Saccharomyces cerevisiae S288C: one gene and its partner. The gene in region 1 interacts genetically with each later gene. Each region holds a gene or a part of one and is shown in the gene's direction. Other genes may lie near its edges.

Region 1 (4,146 bases):
TTGGATTTGTCAAGATCTGAGCTTGAATCAATGATTTTTGCGGCATCATCGGCGAACTCTAAAGCTTCAATTTTCACACCAATATATTCTTGTGGTGTAACACCTTCACCGGATTGTCTATCGTGATCCATACAAGCTTGACCATCTTTTTCAGAGTAAATAGTATAACGTTCACCGAATTTGATTTTACCAGCAGCCTTTAACTTGTTCATTTGCCATCTAATAAAGGCATCGTAATAAGGATTGGCATCAGTGGTGACAAAAGAACGTCTCCAATCGATACGAGCCCCAAGTGAAGTACAATCACTTTCACACAAAGGTGGGAAATAGGTCAACCAGTACTTGGCGTCGGCGAACTTAATGATTTCTTCTCTAGGGATACCAAGCTGTAACATGATTTCGAATTGGTACTTACCACGGCCCTTCTTGGCTGCGGCTTTAGATTTTTTAGCTTTGAATTTGGTAACATCCTCGTGGTCTTTCTCAGCCGGCGTTTCTTCTTTAATTTCTTCTTCTTCTGCTGGTACATTGTCGAAGTTCTTGCCAAAAAGTTCGGCTTCCCTCTTTAGTTTATCGGCACATGCTAAGATTGGCATACCTGTACAGTGAAAACCCAATGGAAACAAAGCTCTTTTACCGTTCATCCTTTCAAAACCAATAGAAAATTCGACTTTGGAGAGAGTAAAACAATGGCCGGCGTGCATAACACCGTTCATATAAGGATAGGCCATAGACGACATGAATTTAGGATACGTGCGATGTAACTCTTCAGAGTCCATTGTAATGGGCTCATCTTCGATTGATGGCGCATCGATTTCAAATTGGTGCTCTTCAGCCCATATTTTTTGGTACTTCTTTTCGATGGCGATTAACGCATCTCTACGTGCCGTGTTTTCTAAGACCAAACCAGAAGACATTATAGACTGGTTAAAGATATTTTTTTTATATTCTTCACTCTGGAAAAAAATTTCGGTGGCTTTACGTGATTATGATTTATAATAATACAATCATTCAACGTTTGAATAGAATATGCGTTAGGTTTCTTTTCGCTTTTGATTTTTTTTTTTTTTTCATTATTTGCGTGGGTGACTGATTTAGTTTTTCAATGTAAAAGAACCGTTAACGGCCAGACCTCGTATAAAGTGAGGATAACTATAGGCAATAATGGGCGATGTGTATGTAAGCACGAGCACTAGTTCAATACACATCAGAAAGAAACTTCGTCTAATTATTTCTTACCCAAGTAGTCACCCAAAAAGACCTTTTCAAAATATGACCTTGATATTCCTTGTCCGTCAGTTACCAGTTTTACTGTTAGCCGCCGAGGTCCTAAGGGCCTCGTAAGATCGTTCTTGTCTTCCCATGACTAAAGTTCTGCCACTAAGTTTAAGCAAACTCGGCTAAAATATTGAGCCAATATCGTATACTCATTTGTCTGATCTTCAAATAGTGAATCCCTTCCTAAACTTTCTTGTGATAAAGGTACTTAGTCAAAAGTATTTTTCTTTAACCATGTCAAAATAAGATCATATTACCCGCCGGCGGCAAGCCAAGCAACGTAAAATGGCTGAAGACAACGTAAGCAGGTCACTCGCGAACTAAAACTAACCGCGAATAACAAATCACCTCATCTATATTTCAGCCCCAAAAGATTGTGGTTTCAAGTGAAAATAACTGTCCTACTAAATGGATTACGAAGAAATTTTATTTGGTCTGCAACCGATCCTCAATGCGTCTTCAATAAAGGATGTTCCGATGAACGATGTCTACTTAGGAAGCTACCTAGCGGTAATGGACCAATTGGCTGTTTCGTTGAGAGAACCAAGTAATAGAGATATTGTTGGTAAAACTGGGCTGCTACTGAACCTAGTAAGAGTATTAGAACAAGCGCTTGATATCTGCTTTCATGATACGAGCATTTCAATTAATGATAAAATAGCGTTTTATGAGATCAGTTCTGAAGTGATTAGATGTATCGCTAACGCAATAATTGATAATGATGATAATCGGGAAATTCTCTTGGATTCTGGAGGTAAAAAGCTTCTTAATTATTATATAGGCGGGGTTCTTCAGCTGGACGAAATTTCTTCTGACAAGAGTGAGGATAGCTTAGTGGATAAATTACAGATGCGGTCAGTTGTGCTACTAAGGAATTTTTGCATTGGAAATCTCAAGTATACAGAAAATTTGGCTCCCTTCATTAGAGGTCCATTATTTGTTTTGTTGAAAACCACACAATATAGCTATTTGTCATCTCCCGAAAAAGTTGTTTTAGGTTCAGATTTATTGAACGATATTTTAAAAGTCAATTACTCAAATGTTCAAATAAGCGATCTCTTTTTCTTAAGCCAGTACATCAAAAAAATCTCTTCAAATGTGCAAAATAAAGAATTGCAGGCAATGGAAGATGGAGCAGTCGAAGCATATTCAAATACTGAAACTCAGAAGTTCGCTGGCCAAGGAAATCAAGAGTACATCGAAAAAGAGGAAGAAGATGATGAGGAGGACGTTAATTGTGAATTGCTATTAAATCTGTCAACATGTCTTGAAACTATTGTAGCCAAGGATGAAACTATAAACTTTACCAATGAGGAGCAGCTTGTGCTAAGCATGCAAAAAAATTTAATATTGTCCTTAGTTTGCTTAGAATCAAAAACCTTCAATAATAAGCTAATTGTAATGAGAAGACTCATATCGTGCGCAGGCAACATCTCCGCCAACCTAACAAACTCTAACAAACGAGAGCAATCATTATGTATCGAAACTATTAAGAGTTCCGCAAGTAGTTATGCCCTAGCCGCAGCTTTGATGATATTATGTAACTCAGTTGCATCCAAAAGTGACGCTGTCGCGCTACTGAAGCTCATATCTCTTAGTGAATTGATTCAAGTTGGTAGCTTGCTACAAGACCCACTACAATATCAAGGATTCCTAGATTTACTGAGGAAGCTGTTAAATCTGGAAAATACCATGTGGCTAGATATCAAGGACCTCTTCACCCTATTTCAGATTATGAGAAGATGTCACGAGCAAACTAAATATTATAACAACCTGAGATCGTTATTAACAAATTTATTAAACAAAACTTTAACGGTGCTTCCAAGTTCAAAAATACACAATTCAATAAGCAGTGATCCAACAATTATCTCTTTTATAGCAGAGCATGGAACGTTAACGTCCTGTATTGCGATGGATAAGCTGCTTGTGTCCAAGAAAGCCCTTCCTAAAGAAGCTATTACATCCCTATGGGATTCGATCTTCAAATTCCAAAATTTAGGTCAAGCAGAACAACTAAGCATCTCAGATTTATTTCATATCACAAAAACGGTTGGAATTTATTTAAAAGATTCAAGTGTAACAGCTGACGTGAATCCGATTGAAAATATACTATTCAAGGATTACATTCAAAAGTTAACCCTGATATTAGAGACCATACTTTCATTTAAAGAAAATAAAGATAAGGGTAGCGAGAGTTGTTTCAACAATGGGAAATTTATAGCGGGCATAATACTAAACATTGTGAAAAATACGAAATGCTTAACGCCAGAGGAACAAAATTTAGAAGCGCTTGCAAAATCGTTCTTTTAGACACGTAATCGCCTTACCTACGAGGGGAGAAAACGTTCCCTCTGCATGTATATATATATATATATATATAAATATTAAATCTTGAATATTGTTGGATTAAGCATGTGCTTGACAAATGGTGTATGGGTTTGTAGACGATGAGAGTGGAAGGGAGATTAAAAGTTTATTGCAGATGCGAACATCTGCACAAAAGTACTTGAATGTACTAAGCAGAAAAAGTTCTAATACATATTAGCAGGAGGCCCAACAGTCACACAAGTTCAGCAGAACTGCCAATTAATCGAAAAGAATATGTATGTTTCTAATGGGAAAGACACTTGCCAGTTGTTGGGGCCCGTGTCTCTTTTTGTCCAGACATTGATGGGTATGACAGCCGTGATTGTGTTATTGGTGAAAAGAAACTATGAGCATCCAAGGAGAAAAATGATTGTGTGGAGTTATGACATTGGAAAACAAATCATCGGCTCTCTTGGAATCCATTTTTTGAATCTAGGCATCAGCATACTGAAGAAAAGACGAAGGTCACTCTTCGCAATCACTGCAAAAGGCAATGATGAT
Region 2 (3,203 bases), on another chromosome or scaffold:
CTTAACATTTAAATATTGCAGAGAATCCATCAAGGGGTCCTTTGCTAGGATACATCTTGAAAATAACGCTTTGAAAATATCTGTCGTAACCTCCGGTATACCTCCCTTACCGTAAAACAGTTCAAATATGTACTCTTTGTATGCCAACGATGGGACTCGGCTATATGCCGCCATTATGTAATTCCAACATAACTTAGCTCCTAATGGTCCCATCATTCTCAAAATGTGAAATTGTTGTTCAAATAAGTATTTTGGAATCATATTTCTTTTGGAGTAAAACTTGGAATTTGGATTTTTAAAATCGATAGTATAAAGAGTGTTGGAGTGGAAATTATTATTTACAGACCAGATATTCCTTTCCACTCCTAGTGGGGATACCAAGCAAAGTTTGTTTACCGAGTTTGGATATTTAACAGCATATTTAAAAGATAAATATCCGCCAAAAGAATGCCCCACAACATTCATTTTGCCCAATTTGTTATCAATGCGCCATTGCTCGATTCTGTCGAGATAGAAATCTTCGTACATTTGAATCACAAATTTATTGTGATTTGCATTTATTGTATATGGAACCTTAAATTTATTTTCTCCAATAAATTTGATATCTAACGGCAGAGGTGTTGTTGTATTGATCTCTAAAGACGGTACTGAAGACAATCCGCTCGCTGGCATGTCAATTGAGTATAAATTTCGGATGTGCTTGGACAGACCTGGATAATTTCTGAAAAAAGACATTGAAGATGCGGCATAGCCATGTATCAGCAATGTTGGTGTTCGAACAGTACTTGTGTTTTCATTTTGGAAATGCCATTGATTTATTTCGTTGAATAACTTATCATTCTTTTTAATACCTTCAACGTGTACCTCTTCCATAATACGTCTCTGTAATTCCTCCAGCCGCATATAAGTTTTGTGTGGGTTATTCAAATGGCTTGACCATAGCTTGAATCCAGATTTTTTGACAGCATTTTCCTCCTTGGGTCTAAGAATCCTTTCCAAAATTTTTCTCTGGAGACTCTTTTCACGACGTTTAACTTCCAGTAGGCTTCTATTACTGTGGAACGCTCTCTTCCACATGTAACATTTATATACATTCATTATCTGCCTCCTTAAACTTTCAGGGTCCATCAAGTACCTCTTTATTAAAAGCATTTTTCATTCGCTCATCCTTAAACTGGAAAGGCATAAGGAAACTGTCAGAATATATAAATAGAGGTGTAAAACATGTGAAGCTCTGTGGAGTTCTAAGCTGGAATCGAAACAGTTGTCTCAATTTTAGTAATGTCCAAGGGCTTTCCAGGAGGTCAGTATATTCAAAGCCAAAATAATTAATGTTTTGGTCTGAATTTTTATTTTTCAAAAATGAGGTGAAAACCTCCAACGAAACTTTTTAATTAAAACCATCCGATACAGAATTTTAAATCATCTAAAGCATTTATTCGGCATTTTATCCTTGAATAACGTACTATGCAACTCATATAAATACTACAATATACTTTCTCTTTAGGAAATTCGTAGCTATCAACAAAGGTAGTGTCATTGTATATATACTTCCGCCTTCCTAAAAAAAACTTCATTATGCCTCCAAAGAAGATATCTTTGTCTCCTAACATGAAAAGAACAAACAATGTCATGGAATCTACTATTTGTGCTGCTAATAGGATTCGTAGTTTTGATATTACTTTCGCCCGTCTTCAAGTCAACATGGCCATTTTCGACTTTCTATCGTAATGTGTTTCAGCCCTTCCTAGTGGATGACCAAAAATATCGTTGGAAGTTGCATTTAGTACCTCTTTTCTACACCTCTATTTACCTGTACCTAGTATATACATACCACATGAGAGTGGAGTCTACGATTAAGAATGAGCTATTCCTTTTAGAACGAATACTGATCGTGCCTATAATTATACTACCGCCGGTAGCATTAGGAATTCTAGCCATGGTAAGCAGAGCTGAGGATTCAAAGGATCATAAATCAGGCTCGACAGAGGAATATCCATATGATTACCTATTGTATTATCCTGCCATAAAGTGTTCGACATGCCGGATCGTCAAGCCTGCTAGATCCAAACATTGTAGCATTTGCAACCGATGCGTTCTCGTCGCCGACCATCATTGCATCTGGATAAATAACTGCATCGGAAAGGGAAACTACCTTCAATTCTACCTTTTCCTAATTTCCAACATATTCTCGATGTGCTACGCCTTTCTAAGGCTGTGGTACATTTCTTTAAATAGCACAAGTACGCTCCCTAGAGCTGTTCTGACTCTTACCATATTATGTGGATGCTTCACTATCATCTGCGCTATTTTCACGTATCTTCAATTGGCCATTGTAAAGGAGGGAATGACTACAAATGAGCAAGATAAATGGTATACCATTCAAGAGTATATGAGAGAAGGAAAACTGGTGAGATCATTGGATGATGATTGCCCATCTTGGTTTTTCAAATGCACAGAACAAAAAGATGACGCTGCTGAACCACTCCAAGATCAACATGTTACGTTTTATAGCACGAATGCCTACGACCATAAGCACTACAACCTTACACACTACATCACGATTAAAGACGCGTCCGAAATTCCCAATATATATGACAAAGGTACCTTCCTGGCCAATCTCACAGATTTAATATAGTAAATTGTCATGCATATGACTCATCCCGAACATGAAATTTTTTTTCACTCGGTTTTTTCTCACCGCCATAGATTCTAACCGCAAATGTCGAACAAATTCATTATACAAGCGGTTTATTAATATAGAAGGTAGGACGCCGACTCGTAACCATTAGTAACAGATCACAGCTATACTCGGTCGTTCAAGTTTATATAATCTCCTAGTTGAGAAATCCCTACGTAAGATAATTGTATATTACGATGGTGCAGTTAGCCAAAGTCCCAATTCTAGGAAATGATATTATCCACGTTGGGTATAACATTCATGACCATTTGGTTGAAACCATAATTAAACATTGTCCTTCTTCGACATACGTTATTTGCAATGATACGAACTTGAGTAAAGTTCCATACTACCAGCAATTAGTCCTGGAATTCAAGGCTTCTTTGCCAGAAGGCTCTCGTTTACTTACTTATGTTGTTAAACCAGGTGAGACAAGTAAAAGTAGAGAAACCAAAGCGCAGCTAGAAGATTATCTTTTAGTGGAAGGATGTACTCGTGATACGGTTATGGTAGCGATCGGTGG

What was found. Genes that interact genetically often act in the same process or in processes that back each other up.
Region 2: mutations in BEM4 (region 1) and SWF1 together harm fitness more than expected from each alone (negative genetic interaction), as found in Saccharomyces cerevisiae (3 studies listed by BioGRID, with this or other methods).

Annotation. Positions count from the first base shown.
Region 1 is NC_001148.4:243,761-247,906, reverse strand, and holds BEM4 (Bem4p), read left to right. Parts: upstream 1-1,686; coding exon 1,687-3,588; downstream 3,589-4,146. Other genes in the region: leucine--tRNA ligase CDC60, read right to left, coding at 1-917; YPL162C (uncharacterized protein), read left to right, coding at 3,880-4,146. UniProt on the Saccharomyces cerevisiae protein: Probably acts as a GEF (guanine nucleotide exchange factor) for the Rho family of small GTP-binding proteins (G proteins) that stimulates the dissociation of GDP to enable subsequent binding of GTP.
Region 2 is NC_001136.10:701,607-704,809, forward strand, and holds SWF1 (palmitoyltransferase SWF1), read left to right. Parts: upstream 1-1,627; coding exon 1,628-2,638; downstream 2,639-3,203. Other genes in the region: ECM18 (alpha/beta hydrolase family protein), read right to left, coding at 1-1,152; ARO1 (pentafunctional protein ARO1p), read left to right, coding at 2,878-3,203. UniProt on the Saccharomyces cerevisiae protein: Palmitoyltransferase that targets several endosomal SNAREs. Palmitoylates the SNAREs SNC1, SNC2, SYN8 and TLG1, at cysteine residues close to the cytoplasmic end of their transmembrane domain.